3 linked regions of the Schizosaccharomyces pombe genome follow. The gene in region 3 interacts genetically with the main gene of each other region. Each region holds a gene or a part of one and is shown on either strand. Other genes may lie near its edges.

Evidence for each region. Genes that interact genetically often act in the same process or in processes that back each other up.
Region 1: mutations in pof10 (region 3) and SPOM_SPAC977.17 together harm fitness less than expected from each alone (positive genetic interaction), as found in Schizosaccharomyces pombe (one large-scale study listed by BioGRID).
Region 2: mutations in pof10 (region 3) and sib1 together harm fitness less than expected from each alone (positive genetic interaction), as found in Schizosaccharomyces pombe (one large-scale study listed by BioGRID).

What each region holds. Positions count from the first base shown.
Region 1 is NC_003424.3:64,198-70,348, forward strand, and holds SPOM_SPAC977.17 (MIP superfamily protein), read left to right. Parts: upstream 1-2,482; 5' UTR 2,483-2,945; coding exon 2,946-4,742; 3' UTR 4,743-5,624; downstream 5,625-6,151. Other genes in the region: dihydroxyacetone kinase Dak2, read right to left, coding at 707-2,482.
Region 2 is NC_003424.3:866,658-871,506, forward strand, and holds the start of sib1 (ferrichrome synthetase Sib1), read right to left. Parts: upstream 3,028-4,849; 5' UTR 2,871-3,027; coding exon 1-2,870. Other genes in the region: sib2 (ornithine N5 monooxygenase), read left to right, coding at 4,368-4,849. UniProt on the Schizosaccharomyces pombe protein: Involved in intracellular and extracellular ferrichrome siderophore biosynthesis.
Region 3 is NC_003423.3:2,923,869-2,928,338, reverse strand, and holds pof10 (F-box/WD repeat protein Pof10), read right to left. Parts: upstream 2,826-4,470; 5' UTR 2,777-2,825; coding exon 2,719-2,776; exon of another isoform or gene 2,665-2,718; coding exon 785-2,664; 3' UTR 549-784; downstream 1-548. Other genes in the region: acl1 (ATP citrate synthase subunit 1), read right to left, coding at 45-118, 166-325; rio2 (RIO family protein kinase), read right to left, coding at 3,138-4,106, 4,261-4,326. UniProt on the Schizosaccharomyces pombe protein: Probably recognizes and binds to some phosphorylated proteins and promotes their ubiquitination and degradation.

The sequences.
Region 1 (6,151 bases), on a different chromosome or scaffold from region 3:
TTGGGTTTTCTAGATTTCAAATTTCTTCATTAAAACAAACATAATAAAAAATTAATCGCTTACTTTATTTGAAGAAAAATTACATTTTAGACAAAATAGTTTGTCCAAAATGTTTATTGGATAATAGCGTTCTCTGTCAACACATTTCACGTAATTTTCCGTCTAGTATTCAGCAAACATCTACCAAGTGCTAAGAATCAGAAAGGTTGGCTAAATGATCAGTTTATGATCGCCGACCGAGTAACATGTCAGTCTTTTGAAAAAAACCATACAGTGCATGTGATTGTCTACTTCGTTTTCGCTTTACAGATCAGATCTACATAGCATTTCGGCAGGTAAATTCGTTTAACAATTTCTGCATGTAATTCTCTTTTTTTGACGAATTGTAAGCTATAACTACTGCAATATTTTCACGTTCTCCAACGCCTCCTACAAATTAATACTAGACAATAGGACCAAAAGTGTAAATAATACATCAGTAATCATTTGATCCAAGCTTTTTTATTCGCAATATATTGATTCTTAAAAGAAAGTTCTAAAAAAGCCAGTGGATACAAAATTTAATCAAACATTTTGTAATTATGGTGAAAATTTTAAAAGAAAGCCAAAACAATTTTAAACTCAGGTTACATGATATGCCTTTCCAACATTAACTATGTGCATTATTAACATAGAGCCAAATTCTGAGGTAGTGATAAAAAACGCTTTAATGTTCGCTTGCCTCAACAATTGCGTTCAAAATAGCGGCCAATGCAAAGGCACCAGGATCCGGCAATCCTCCCTCACTATCAAGCTTATGAAGTTCTTCTTTAGCAACATAAGATGCTCTTCCAACGACAGCATCCATTTTTCTAGTTTGTTCAGAACCTTCAGTGGCAGCTTTCGCAGCAGCATCAAGTCCCTTACCCTCATTTAAAGTTTCAACAAATGGTTGAATAGCATCAATAAGCGTTCGGAATCCTTTACGGGCTCTAGTGTATTTGAAAAGAGCGTCAAGTGCATACTTGCTTGCAAACGCAAATGTATGCACGGATAATTCGGAATCGCCTGACTCATGAACTCCTTTGGCTAGCGCAGACAAATAAATCGAGTAAAGACCACCCGATGTACCTCCCATCGAATCCTCAACAATATAGGCCAAATCGTCAATACCATTTACACCATCATCCAATCGAATCGATTTATCATTAATAGCCTTTGTGATGGCCTCTCCACCATTCACAAGGGTTGTTCCACAATCACCATCTCCTGCAATCGTATCGTACCAAGTTGTCTTTGGCTCAAATTCATTGATAGCGTCAACGGCAGCTTTTAAAATTTTAGTAAACATCTTTGGGTCAGCCTTTACACCGCTGTGCTTCTCATTACGGGTATGCTCCAAAGCGGGAGCTGTTGGCACCTTGCCGTCAGCCAAAACCTCCCAGTCCTTTGCGTTATGATAAGAAACGTTCCATCCACTAGCGGTTGTTGGCAAGTCAAAATATTTGAAAATATCTGGAGTAGCCTTAGAAGCATTGACCAATGTAATTCCAAAACCAGGACCGTTCAGAGCGGTTACAAACGTACCAGACATGGTTCTTTTAGGAATGATACCTCGTTTGGCTAATTGTTCCGAAACTACTTCAGTAGCATATCCCAACTCTAAATTGGACATACCACCCATATTGTTTACTAGAAGGATAACATCGTCTTTTGAAGAAAACTCTACGAAACTATTGTCCGGGTTTTTCTCACCAAACAAAATTGAAAGCATCTCTGTAACTAGCTCGGGAATAGATGGAAGTGGTGATGATTTGAAGGTTCCAGGCTCGTTATGAATACCCATGCCAATCTCATACTCGTCTGGACCCAAGTTGGTTTCAAATTTGCGACCGGGAACGGCGCAGTGATCCAATGAAGCTGCTATGGTAGCAGCATTGTCAATCACTGATTGGGCCACTTGAGCAACTTGATGCAGATCCAATCCTAATGCTGCTGCAGATCCCGCAATTTTGTGTACTAGCACAGTGGCTCCTAAACCTCTTCTTCCTACGAGTGCACCTCTTTTTTTGCCTACAGAAACATCATCTCCTACGGCAACAAGCTCAACGTTCATTCCAGCTGCCTTGGCTCTCTCAGCTGCCAGGCCAAAATGAATAATATCGCCTGTATAATTCTTGACAATAATTAAAGTTCCCTTAGGAGAAGCAACAGCTTTGAGGGCAGAGTAAATTTGTTTAGTAGAGGGAGAAGCAAAAATGTCTCCACAAGCTACAGCGTCCAAGGCTCCATCACCAACAAAACCTGCATGTGTAGGCTCGTGCCCACTACCACCACCAGACACTAAAGTTACTTTAGGAAGATCACCAGAACCCGGGGCAGAAGCTGTCCTGTAAATCACACGATCATGTTCAATAACAGTAAGACCAGGGTTACTTCTAGCAAGTCCAAGCAAGTATGGGCGTACTATATGTCCGTCAGATACAAATTGTTTTACAGACATTTTTAATTGAAAAGAAACGTTCCCTTCCTGCTTTTTTATCTCATTCTTTACATTACTACTACCCCGCGCGCGGTGCGTTCTAAGATTTGCAAATATCCGGCATACCCGCCTAGCTGACCAATTGTTGATTACGGTTGAAGCGGCAGTTATGCGAGTGTGCAAACGCATTGTATAAACTTGTCCAATTCAGGGAAATTTATAACACATATTCTTAATATTCTGTAGATAAATTGATTTGCGCTTAAGATTCGTCACCAAATTTGTGCCGCCACTACACGTTGTCATCGACGGTTGCTTAACTTCGGTTATCTGGACCACTTGCATGAGTATATAATGCACTGTTTTACTCCACCTTATTCCCAAAGCTATTTCAAACCTTAATTTTGGTATTCCCGCCAGTACCCGCGTGCATTCAAAAAATTTCCATAAAAGCCAAGATTTGTCCCGTCTAATTCACTACTAAATGAGCGTCCCTTTACGCTTCTCGACACCATCATCATCTCCTTCAGCCTCAGATAATGAGAGCGTGCATGATGATGGTCCCACAACTGAATTAGACACTTTCAATACGACGGACGTGCCAAGAAGAGTCAATACCACTAAAGCTCGACAAATGCGTCCCAAAAATACCCTAAAAGTTGCGTTCTCTTCACCCAACCTCAAAGGCCTGGACAACACTGCCGACTCGGATTCTCAACCCTGGCTTGGTGGGTACCTTGCTGGAAGACTTGAAGATATATCCGGACAATCGCGTCGAAATTATGTTGATCCTTATTACGAAGAATTGAATGCTGGGAGGAGACCCAACAAACCGGTGTGGAGTTTGAATGGACCATTGCCACATGTTCTTGGTAACTCTGTGGTAGAAAAAATATCTCAAAAGAATCAGGAAGCTCGTTCTAGAGCAAATTCCAGGGTGAATTCCAGAGCAAATTCCAGAGCAAACTCCTCGGTCTCTTTGGCTGGTATGGATGGATCGCCCAATTGGAAACGGAAAATGAAGAGTGCTGTTTTTGGATCAAGAGTCAAGCTTAATGATGAAGAAGCTCAATTGCCGCGCAATAAATCTTCCGTTTCCATAGCGGAACAAGCCGCTTCAAGACCCAAAGTTAGTTTCTCGCTTCAAAGCAGCCGTCAACCATCCATTGCTGAGGAGCAACCCCAAACCCAGCGTAAGTCTTCCGCGATAACGGTAGAGCATGCGGAAAATGCTGAACCAGAGACCCCAAGAAATAATGTTAGTTTCTCTAGGAAACCGTCAATAGCTGAACAAGATTCATCTCAAGATATTACTATGCCTCCTAATGAAATTATTGCTGAAGAAAGTTTAGACTCGGGAAGCGATACTGAAACCCTGTATCTCAACTATTGGTGCAAGATTAGACACTTTTTTCGTGAGGGTTTTGCTGAGTTCCTGGGCACTTTGGTTTTGGTTGTGTTTGGTGTAGGCAGTAATTTGCAAGCTACCGTCACTAATGGAGCAGGTGGAAGCTTCGAATCCCTTTCTTTTGCTTGGGGATTTGGTTGCATGCTTGGCGTTTATATAGCTGGTGGAATCAGTGGTGGTCATGTCAATCCCGCTGTGACTATCTCATTAGCCATATTTCGCAAATTTCCTTGGTATAAAGTGCCAATCTACATTTTTTTCCAAATCTGGGGTGCATTCTTTGGAGGTGCACTTGCCTATGGTTACCATTGGAGTTCAATTACTGAATTTGAAGGAGGCAAAGATATTAGAACACCGGCAACAGGTGGTTGTTTGTACACCAATCCAAAACCATACGTCACTTGGAGAAACGCATTTTTCGATGAGTTTATTGGAACAGCCGTTTTGGTAGGATGTTTATTCGCCATTCTAGATGATACCAACTCTCCACCAACCCAGGGCATGACTGCTTTTATCGTTGGTTTGCTTATTGCAGCTATTGGTATGGCTCTTGGATATCAAACAAGTTTCACTCTGAATCCAGCTCGTGACTTGGGACCTCGTATGTTTGCATGGTGGATTGGCTATGGACCACATTCATTTCACCTGTATCATTGGTGGTGGACTTGGGGTGCTTGGGGCGGTACCATAGGAGGTGGTATTGCTGGAGGACTTATTTATGATTTAGTAATATTTACGGGCCCAGAGTCTCCACTTAATTATCCAGATAACGGGTTTATCGATAAAAAAGTGCATCAGATTACCGCAAAATTTGAGAAGGAAGAAGAGGTTGAAAACTTGGAAAAAACAGATTCTCCGATTGAGAATAATTGAACTCTTAATAATCTTTCATGTCACAAAATGCAGAAGATTGAAACCATTTACTTTTTATTTATTTATTCTTATTATTGTGGAGCAGCTTTTCTCTTTATACTAAGCATATATTAGCTTTTATATTATCTTTTGAGATGGACAAAGAGCTATGTCTTCCCCATTTTTTTTGTTTAATTTAAGCACTAGGGTTTTGTTGTGTTACTCTTTGTTGCTGTAAAAATTTTCAGCTTCTTAATGCTTGGGACGCCCTTATGTTGTTGCAATAGCGGCAGCTTCAATTAAAATTGATTTCATATCAAAAAAGACGATTTTCCCATTATATTGCGGTGTCTCGAATTTATTACTTCTTCCCTCAACTTACTTTGAAACCTAATTTTTGGATTCCTGTTGACTTCTTTTTTACGTTTTTGCGTATTACCGATTTTTCTTCCGCTTTGCGTAACACAATTTTCTTGCTCTCTTCTTTACTCTATGTACTGCGAAAGTAGTACGATTACCTTGTATGATTACTTATATTGCCCAACCCCCTTTTCAAGTTCAACTTTGACCGAAATTTTCTCTTCTCTTTTTTGCTATTTATTCATATATCTACCTGTAATTTTTAGTCCTTAAAACATTTGGTTTTTCAAAACAACAGATATTAAAAATGGCCGATATGACCATTACGTCATGAAATACTTGCTTCTCTATTTGGTTAACATACTTAGGATTTAGCTAAATTAGTTAAGATATCAAAAAAGTTTTAACTCATATCTAAAGATTTTTTTATTTAGAATAATTGGACGTTATGTTATGATATATAATTTTATGATTCACTTTTGTCGATTTTGTTAAAACATGTTTTGTTAATATTTAAAAGCTCAACGAGGATGAAATTTTTCTGTACATTTTAAACATAAAATACATTCTAGATATTGAATGTAATACCAATATTTTCATGAACACGCTGTTTAAAAAATATTTTTCGGTAACCCATTATTTGGTATTGTTTTCGTATAATAGTTAAATAATCAAACTTCTATAAAATTATAAAGCAAACCAACGACTGAAAGCATTTTGTAAAAAAACTTATAAAATCAGTGGGAACAGCTTGTAGATTCACTAATGTCATTATATAAACCGATTATTTTTCCAAAGGCATTATCAAAATTTATTTCGGAATGCAAGGATTCCCGTAAAACTAAAACCGTAGTTTATTAAATTTTAAAATTACTTTCATTTCCAGTATTTTTACGGTATGTATTTATAAAGTTCAAACTCACTTGGAAATTGAATGTCCGGAACCCTGCTTTTTATGTTTAATATCCGAGTTTAATATATTGGATATTCCAGTAGTCATTTTATGAATACCAAACCTCTGTTTTGGGAAGAGAAGAACTAGTATGCGATGGCAAATATTTTTTTTCTGT
Region 2 (4,849 bases), on a different chromosome or scaffold from region 3:
TCTTCAAATTGTGGGACGATCGTAAGCCGTCTATCGTGAATCAGCATGAATAATTGCTGCATAATAATATCGATGGACCAACCATCGTATAAAGCGTGATGCCAGACAATGCTGAGATAACAGTTACTGGAGTCATAAATTACAGCAGCATCCAATGGACCACTGTTTAGAAATTGTTCATCAAATTCTTTGGTAGTAAAATGTTTTTGAATGCACTCTAGGCAATTCTTTGAATACGAATACAATGGAGGCTTCTTTTCAAGAATAAACCGAGTAAATCCCTCATTTTCGTCCAAAGCAAAGCCATTACTCAGTATAGTATGTGTATCTAGTAATTTCTCCCAGGCAAGCTTAACTTTTTCAGGTGAAGCTGCAATTTTAAAAACAGTGTGATTGAAATATAGATTTCCATTATTTGAGAACGATTCATAGAGCATTCCTTTTTGAAGTGGTGTGCATTTATTAAGAAAATTGTTCTTTGACTGAACTTCGTTGGGTTTGAGTAAAATTAAGCTCTCAGCTATTTTGAAAACCACTTTACTAGTCAAAACAATTGATGGATTTGCCTCAAAACCTAAGGACCTAATCTTACGCACGAAATAGACAATATCTAAAGAATCCAATCCCAAGTCAAAAATCGACGAAAACCGAGAAATAGATACAACAGAGTTAAATCTCTTTTCACATATTTCATGTAACACATTAGCGACTAACAGTTCAGATTGATTAAAGCTAGAGAAATCAGTAGAGTGTTTATCAGAAGCAGAAAATTGAATTTTCAATGCTTTGCGATCTGTTTTTCCACTTGCTAGTCTTGGAAACCCAGGTAAGCCAACGTATTTTGTTGGGCACATCCAACTAGCAAGGTGGGATTCAGCGTGCTTTCTCAATTTCATTTCGTCGCCGACATAAAAAGCAACCAAATTGTCGCCAATTTTTTCAATAGCCAAAGAATCGACGGAGGGTGCTAATTTTGATTCAATTTCTCCAATTTCAATACGCCTACCTCTTATTTTTATTTGCATATCACCAGCAATCCTCCCGAATATATATAATTTCCCATTTATTATACGGCCCAAATCGCCAGTTCGGTAAATTGACAGAGTTTGTTCGTTATATTGAACCTCAACAAAGGCCTTTGCATTAATCTCTGGTCGATTAATGTATCCACTAGACAACTGTGGGCCAGCAATACATACTTCTCCTAGAAATCCTTCATGCAACACATGCGGCTGAGAATCTTCAGTAGGAAGTGAAACAACGCATATTGTTGCTGATTGTAATGGCACGCCAACTAAATAAACCGTGGTTAACGCTTTGGAAGGATTAAGCGTAACATGTATAGCTGCTTCTGTCGGACCATAAGCATTTACTAAACGTTCTCCCCAAAAGTCAATGATTCTATTAGTGAGCAACTCACCGATCGTTATGAGCATTCGAACACTTGTAAATAATTCCTTATTTTCGTCAAGCGAGATAACATTAGCAACAGTGGGTGTTAGTTCCAAAGCAGCGATTTTATAATCATATATTAAATACTCCAAATTTCCGATCAAGTTCTGCCTTTTCGAAGTCACCAACGTCAGACCGTTATTCCAATTTCCAAAAATTTCAAAAACCGATACATCAAAGGTCACGTTGGCAAACTGCAACCAAGCATCACCACGTTCAAGCCCAAACATTGGATATAAATACCCGTGGGATTTGATAGAATTGGTAGCAGCTCGATGAGAGATTGCAACACCCTTGGGATTTCCAGTTGAACCAGATGTGTACAGAACATAAGCAACGGAATCAAGGCTTTCAGGAAAGGGAAAGGGGGGTATCTCATCATCGACTTTGATCTCCATTGACTCATTATACTCAGGAACCTTTAATATAATTGTGTTATTAGGAAATCGATTAACAAACTCTTCAGAGACAATAGCAAAAGACGCATCAACATCTTTACTGATAAAGTGGACCCTTTCAGTACGAGTTTCTACATCAATGGGACAATAAGCATTACCACTGTAGAGGATTGCAAGAATACCAACGAAAAGAGCAGGTGAATGAGATACCATAATAGGAACTACCTCATTCTTACATGTAACGAGTTTGGAAAGTTTTATTGCCAAAGAGTGAAGCTCGAGAAAAGAAAATGATCTAAAGGTATCCTCCAGATCATCGCCAATTTCATATATAAACTTCAAAGCATCTTGATAAGGGTGAGAAAGAGTATTATGATAAAAACACCCGTGTAAATAATTAGCAAGAGATGAAGAGTTTAAGCATAAATCGGAACAAGGAGAATTAAGGATGGAGAAGGGGAGGTCGTAATTAGTGATTTTTGAGTTAATCATGAAAAAAAGTAATCTTGCTAAATCATCATCAAACAGAGACGAATTCCATTTTAAAGTAAGGAAATTGGGAGAACAGACAAAGGCTATGTCGGCAACCACATCCATAGATCGAAAAGCGGTTATGTCTGAAAAATAAGATAAAAGTTGATTCAAACATGGTTTAGATGATTCAAACAAATCGTCAGCAAAGGATGGATCTCGACGCGAAGTGAAAACGGCAGAATGTAGTTTATGTAGGTGAAAAACTTCTAAGGGTTCTAGTTGGGAGTTTGTAGAATGATATAAGTAGCATTGGCAATTTTTAGGATTAGTATTAGGAATCACATCGTCTGAAACAGGAAAAAAAAAGAATGAAACTTCTCCACCAGTGATACCACAAAACAGCCAACTCCAAGCGTCCAAAAATGCAGAGTAAGGATGTGAAAAGGGAAGTGATAAAACGTGATAGGGGGCATCACTTGACGGCCGCATAGGACCTAATTGAGAAATTTGAGTTGAGAAAGCATCTTCTTCATTTGAATTCTTCATAAGTCTCAATCAAAAAATTTAGTGACACGGAAATATTTTATAACGAAGGTGTTGTTTCACAAATGTATCAATAGCTAAAGGATGTATTAATCCTTCATTAAAACACAGTAGCAGTAAGAACCAAGTAGAGGAATATCCTGCTAAAATATGGATGCTTGTAATATTACACCACCCTTGCTTAACGAAGTTTAGTTACGTGATTTGGCGCAGCCTTAAAGTTCGTTATAATGTGCAATCAAAAAGGCCTGTCTAAACAAGGCAATCAACAAACTGGAAGTTTTTCGGGTGACTATTTTCATCGGAGTTTGCTCTTTTAAGTGAATTTTTCAATACTTTCGAAAGATCATGAAAAGCCTCATTACTAATCTTTTCCGAAATTTAAAATGGAGAGATATCAAATGAAGTGCATGTGACCTAGATTTTCGCTTACAATATTGCCCACTTTACCACCTTATATTTATCAGATCGATAGAGATCGGATGAAGAGAGTCTAGAAGATCAACGCGGGGTGCCGGTCGGTAAACCTGAGTCCAAGTAAAGGGGACTTTTTGTAGTGGAAAACGAATGAATAGAGTTTTCCATTTTTTCTGATGTCTCATTTAATCGATGCCATTCTATTAAAAAAAATGTGTTGTAACACACTTACCACTTCCTTTTCGCTTTACTCCAGATTTGCTTCCGCATAGTTCAAAAAACTACGGACTTGCGAGATACAGAGCATGCGACCGCAGCATAGAGAAAGTGGATGAAAAGGGGAGGGAAAGAAGATGACAGAGAAATATAGACCTTGGTATGCGGTAATTTTAACGATTTTCAAATAATTTCATAACAAAGACTCGGTTTTCCGTAATACTAAATTTGGCAGTACACTTTTCACCTTCTGTTTATACCTAAGAATACAAAACGATGCTTAATTTTAGGCACTTCTTATTTTTTGTTTATTCGTATGTACGCGAGGAGAAAACATATACCTGGCGATGCTTTGTTTTAATTTCCCATAAAAAAAGAATTTCGCTCAAGAAAAACAGAATTTTCATTTCACCATCCTCTTTTTTTTAACGGTTGTTTATGCTTCGAGATTTTCTCGGATTTCACAAAATTTCCACCTTAACTGCAGTTACGTAAGGGCTTAGCGCTATGACGGAGAAAGCGCGACATATGTTATCGAAAGGGAATGGACTCCTTAAAATACATGTGCTCATATACTTCCATTATATAGGCTCATTTTCGCACGTATTGTGGGTTGGATAACAATATTTTAAAATCGACCAACAATCTTCTTGCAAACATTTGTAGTAGTGCTAGCCTAATTAATTTCAAAAAGCCGCGCATTCTAGAATATCGTGAAACTTGGTAAGTATGAAAAGGAAAAATATGTTTTTTCGGATAATGGAACCAAGTTTTCTAATATTATTGCTTGCTTAGGGAAAATCCCTAATTATCTAATTAATTCATTTCGTCCCTCTTTCTTAAAAAAAAACCTTTGGAAATAAGAAAATGACTGAACCTCTAGATTTAGCAATTATTGGATTTGGTCCCGCTAGTCTTTCTTTCCTTATTGCTTTGCATGACCATTCGGAGGAGCCCTTAAAGAACAAAAAAATCCGCGTGTTTGAAAAGTTGCCCACGTTTTCCTGGCATGAGGGTATGCTGATTCCTGGTTCAAACATGCAAATCTCATTTGTAAAGGATTTGGCAACGCCCAGGGATCCTACTTCTTACTTCACCTTTTTAAACTATCTACATTCGCATGGCCAGGAACGATTATCTGGTTTCCTTAACATGTCCACCCTAGAGCCATCTCGTTACGAATACCATGACTACTTATGCTGGGCAGCCAGCCATTTCTCCAAGTTTGTCGAGTACAACGCTAACATTAATAAACTCCATTACGATGCCGCAACTGATCTGTACATTGTGGGTCACGGTGATACTCAATGGCAAGCGAAAAACATCATTATTACTACGGGTTGTCAGCC
Region 3 (4,470 bases):
CGCTTATTTGCAAACTAATAAGCATATTTATGCGGACAACTTACTTCTTCAATTGTACGATAAACAGGCAACAGAATTTCTTTAGTACCCCAATAAAGCTTGCTGATACTTTGACTTCCTAAGCACGCGTTAGTATTCAAATTTTTATATCAACGAAGCACATACCGAACGTATATATGATAGCAGCTACAGATGGAACAGTTCTACCACACATATAATCAAAGTCAAGCATTCCTTGAACAGCCTTTGTCTGCATGCCATACACAAAGGCTCTGGTGTCCTTGGAAAAAAGCTCATAAGAAGGTTTATCCACTGATCCCGCCATTGTTGTTCTTGTCACTGTGTTGGAGGAGGTAAGGAACGTTCGCTCATTGTTTTGCTGAACACTTTTTTACATTTAACGAGATGTTTGCGATAATTGAAATTTTGAAAATCAGATAACGCAATCAAGCGATACTTTTTATACATTCACTGATCAACGGTGCGTATGCCTTAAGAATATTTTTTTATGCTTTTATTAAGCAATAATATTATCCTTAAATAAGCATAGTAGGATATAAGAAAATACGTATTCCTAAAAGATTTTATTAACAAAATTAAAGTAACCTCTATTTTGAATTATAAAAATTCCCACCAAAATCCCTTGAATCCTCCTCCTTTTTTTACTTCGGAAGATTGATGAAGCATGTAATAAATAGATGAAGGACATGACTATATGCAGATGCAAAAATTTAACTAACGTATATTTTTCTACTTTTTCCCTCTTAGTAAACTACTAGGTGTATCACATTTCCATGAGTGATAATCGCATGGCTAGTTCAATCTGCTCTTGTTCGTTCAGTTCAGCAACATTCGCTTGTTCTTGCGGTGGCTCATGATTTGAACTTAAAGCATTTAATGACGATGTAGCTTGTTCATCGTTTTCTTTAAAATCTTCTTCTATTTTATCAACATCCATGGAGAGCTGAACCATTCTCTTAGCTTCCTCTTCTTGTGAAAGCATGGTAACATATGCTATGATTTCTTCTTCACTTAAACCAACCAAGCCCTCACCAAAATGCTGTTCAAATTTTTGCCGGGCTTCCATTTTTTCTCGTCTTTCCTGAGCAATTTGGTCCAAACCTAACATGATTTCTCTTTCGACTTCATTTTTTGAGTAGTCAGACGACTTCGACAGATTATCGTGTGTCACCGAAGGTCTCAAGGGTAAAACCTTGGACCTTTTATTAACAAAAGGTTTGGGAATTGTATAAGACCAAGATTTGACATGCTTGCTCATGGTGATCACACCTTTCAAACTTAACGGATTTGAGTCAAGCAGTATGCAATTAATTGGTTCTCTTCTAGCAGCATTCCTGGCACTCGCTATTTTTTTCAAAAAATTCCCAGTAACGGTATCGTATACTCCGCAATAGCCGCTAGCCGACCCTACTACCATTGCAACTTCATTCAAGTAAATATCGGTAATAGGAAAATTTGAGTATGCAGTAATAGTTCTAAGAATGGCCTTGTTAGGATCTTCAGTGCGAGTGTTTACAACATAAACCAAACCATTTTCATCACCAACAGCGAGCAGTCTTGCTCCTCTACCAGGAGTTGATTTTGACAACACACGATCGTTCGTATCTAAGGAGATTGAGGTTGGTTTTCCGTTGAGAGGAATTGAAGATGTTTGAACGCCGACATTATCGTTTTTCTCCAAAAATTCTTTAAATGAAACTCGACAAATACAATTTTTCGGTGCGCCCCTGGACAAGAAGGCAACACCGGCACAGCAATCTGCCGTCATCAGACAAGGAGGTTCCTCTTCATCAGTTAACACACATTTTCTGGACGATAAAAGTATAGGCTGCTCATTCTTTCGGGAGCGAGCATAGCCCGGTATTAAGTATAATTGATATGAGTTAAGTTCATAATTAAAAGTGTCAACGAGTAGCATTTTGTATTTCGGCCTGAAACACAAAGAAAGGATTTGTGAAGAACGGAATTGAAATGATTGAAGACTAACACCTGTTTTAACATCCCAGCAATGCACGGATCCATCATCTGATCCAGTAACCATACCGATTTCCCCAGTGGGGGGCAAATCACCGGTTAATGCATCAATGCATGTAACTGAATCAGCATGGGAATCCAGACAATAACGAAATTTTCGAGGAGTCTCGGCTTGACGTGACATCAAAATAACTCCAACGCGACCATCCATAAAACCAAAGCCAAAAATTTGTTTCCCCAATGTCATTGTAGATAATCCATGCGTAAAGCTGCCATCAGTACTAGCATGTAATAAAGACCTCTCAACCTTTCCAGTGGTAGGGTCGGAAACGGAGATTGTTCCAGTAAGCCAATTTCCTGAATAAAGCCTTCCTGAAGAAAAGTCGTAATAAAGGTTGGTCAATTGTCCAACGCGACAATCATACTGAACTGTTTGCCCTTTCCCTTTTTCATAAGCTCTAGTAATGGTAGAACGTAAAAGATATTCTTGCCGCCATGTTCCATTACCTAGTGGACTAAATATTTGCGACTGATCACCCGCAAAGTGATGAAAAAAAGCAGTACGCCAACTTAAATCATCGGATAATAACTTTTTCCAATATTTGCAAGTGCATTGAGCAGAAAGTAAAGAGCGAGGATCAAGAAACGAAAATATAATGATCAAAATTTCTAGAAAAAGTTAACAAAATCTCGAAAACTAAAATTGAATGTGTGAGAATTTACCTTTTGGCAGGTTTAAAACTGTTCTATTCGTATTATTTGAAGAATGATCCCGATTCATTCTCCTTAGGTTTGAGGATGTAAAATCCAAAGATGTTGGTTCCGATTTCATTGGTCTTGGCGTTTTGCCTTAGTATATAAAGTGGAACTTACTACGTGTACCAACGTATCGCTCAGAAAACGTCCTGTAATCATTAATTAACGAGCATTTTATATTCGAAAATTAATGTTTGCTTGTATCTTTTGATAGATTAATTAAAATGCTTTTATCTACATCCAAATTGAAATGAAAATTTAAAACAGTAACCAAAAAAGCTGAATATATTAACCCTATGCTAGTCCCTAACACCAGAAATACCTAATAAAATGAATAAATGATTTTACTGAACATGCAATTGTGCAATATGGTTTCATTAAAACCATCATTCCTTCTCTTCTTCTTCTTCTTCATAGTTATCAGATAAATCATCACCATTTTCTTTTCTTTTTTCTTCTTCTTGTCTATATTTTTCTAGTTCTTTAGATTGTTTCTTATTAAATCCTGAAGCCTCAATCATGATATCCAAATTATTTTCCTTTTCCATTTTCGATATGTCTTCGAAATTAGGAACATCACCTTTGTATTGATAGTTTTTTTCAAAATATTGCACAATGCACTGTACGTCTCTATCAAAATAAAATTGCGCATCAGGATGACTAGTAGATACCATTTGCGGAAAATCAATTACAACAGCTGTTCCATCTTCACGAACAATGATGTTAAATTCGTTGAAATCACCATGTATTAACCCATTCCTTGCAAATCGAACGATAATATCCATTAATGTCTGATATAGAGCAGGTGGATCACGAATGTCAGTAACAGCACGAAGAGGAAACGCATCAATCATTTCCATGATAATACAATGCCTGGAATGATCAATTGGAGCAGGTACAGGGAAACCATGCTCATGCAAGATCTTCATAAAAGCAAATTCTTTTGTGGCAGCTAATCGAGACAGATACTGCCATGATCCAGTTTTACGATTTCTCAAATAATCTCTATTGTTTTTTACACTCCGGAAAGATATACGCCCAAGCCTGTGGATTTTTAAGATATATTGCTTTCCTTTTTGGTCTCCTACGACGTAGACATCAGATTCTTTACCGACGCCTATTTGATTACCGACAGAGTAAACGGATGCTCTCTTTGACAAGGCCTTCAATGCCAAGTAATCATATCCCGCATATGTTAGTCGATAGCCCTCATAGCTGATATGCGGCACCTTTGCAATTAATTTATGCATAAACAAAACGGACAATGATTTCGTACAAGAGCCACCGCGTATTTTAGCAATTTGATTAATCATATTCGTTGGAACAACTTCATGATTACGGCTTCCCATTTCTACCTATAACTTGTTAGTTCGAATACTTATTGAAATCAAAATATAATTAATTGAATGCATCATATCGTATGTGTCAATAAGTAAGAAAATACAAAACATTGTACGATCAAAACGATTTAAGCTATATGACTGCCCAAAGATAAAATAAAGTGCTTACAGCTGTCAGAGTGCGAAAATCCTCGGCAGAAAGATATCTCATTGCTTTTATATTCAAATTTACCATCTTGACGAGCTTAACTTTTTTTCTTGCTAAAAATAAAAAAATAAGTAAGAATGCTAATCAAAGTTCAATTCCGACAATCACTAAATTGTGGTTCTCGTCAAAATGGTTGGTGTTTTGGCTAAGTGTGCTTAAAGTATTACTTGC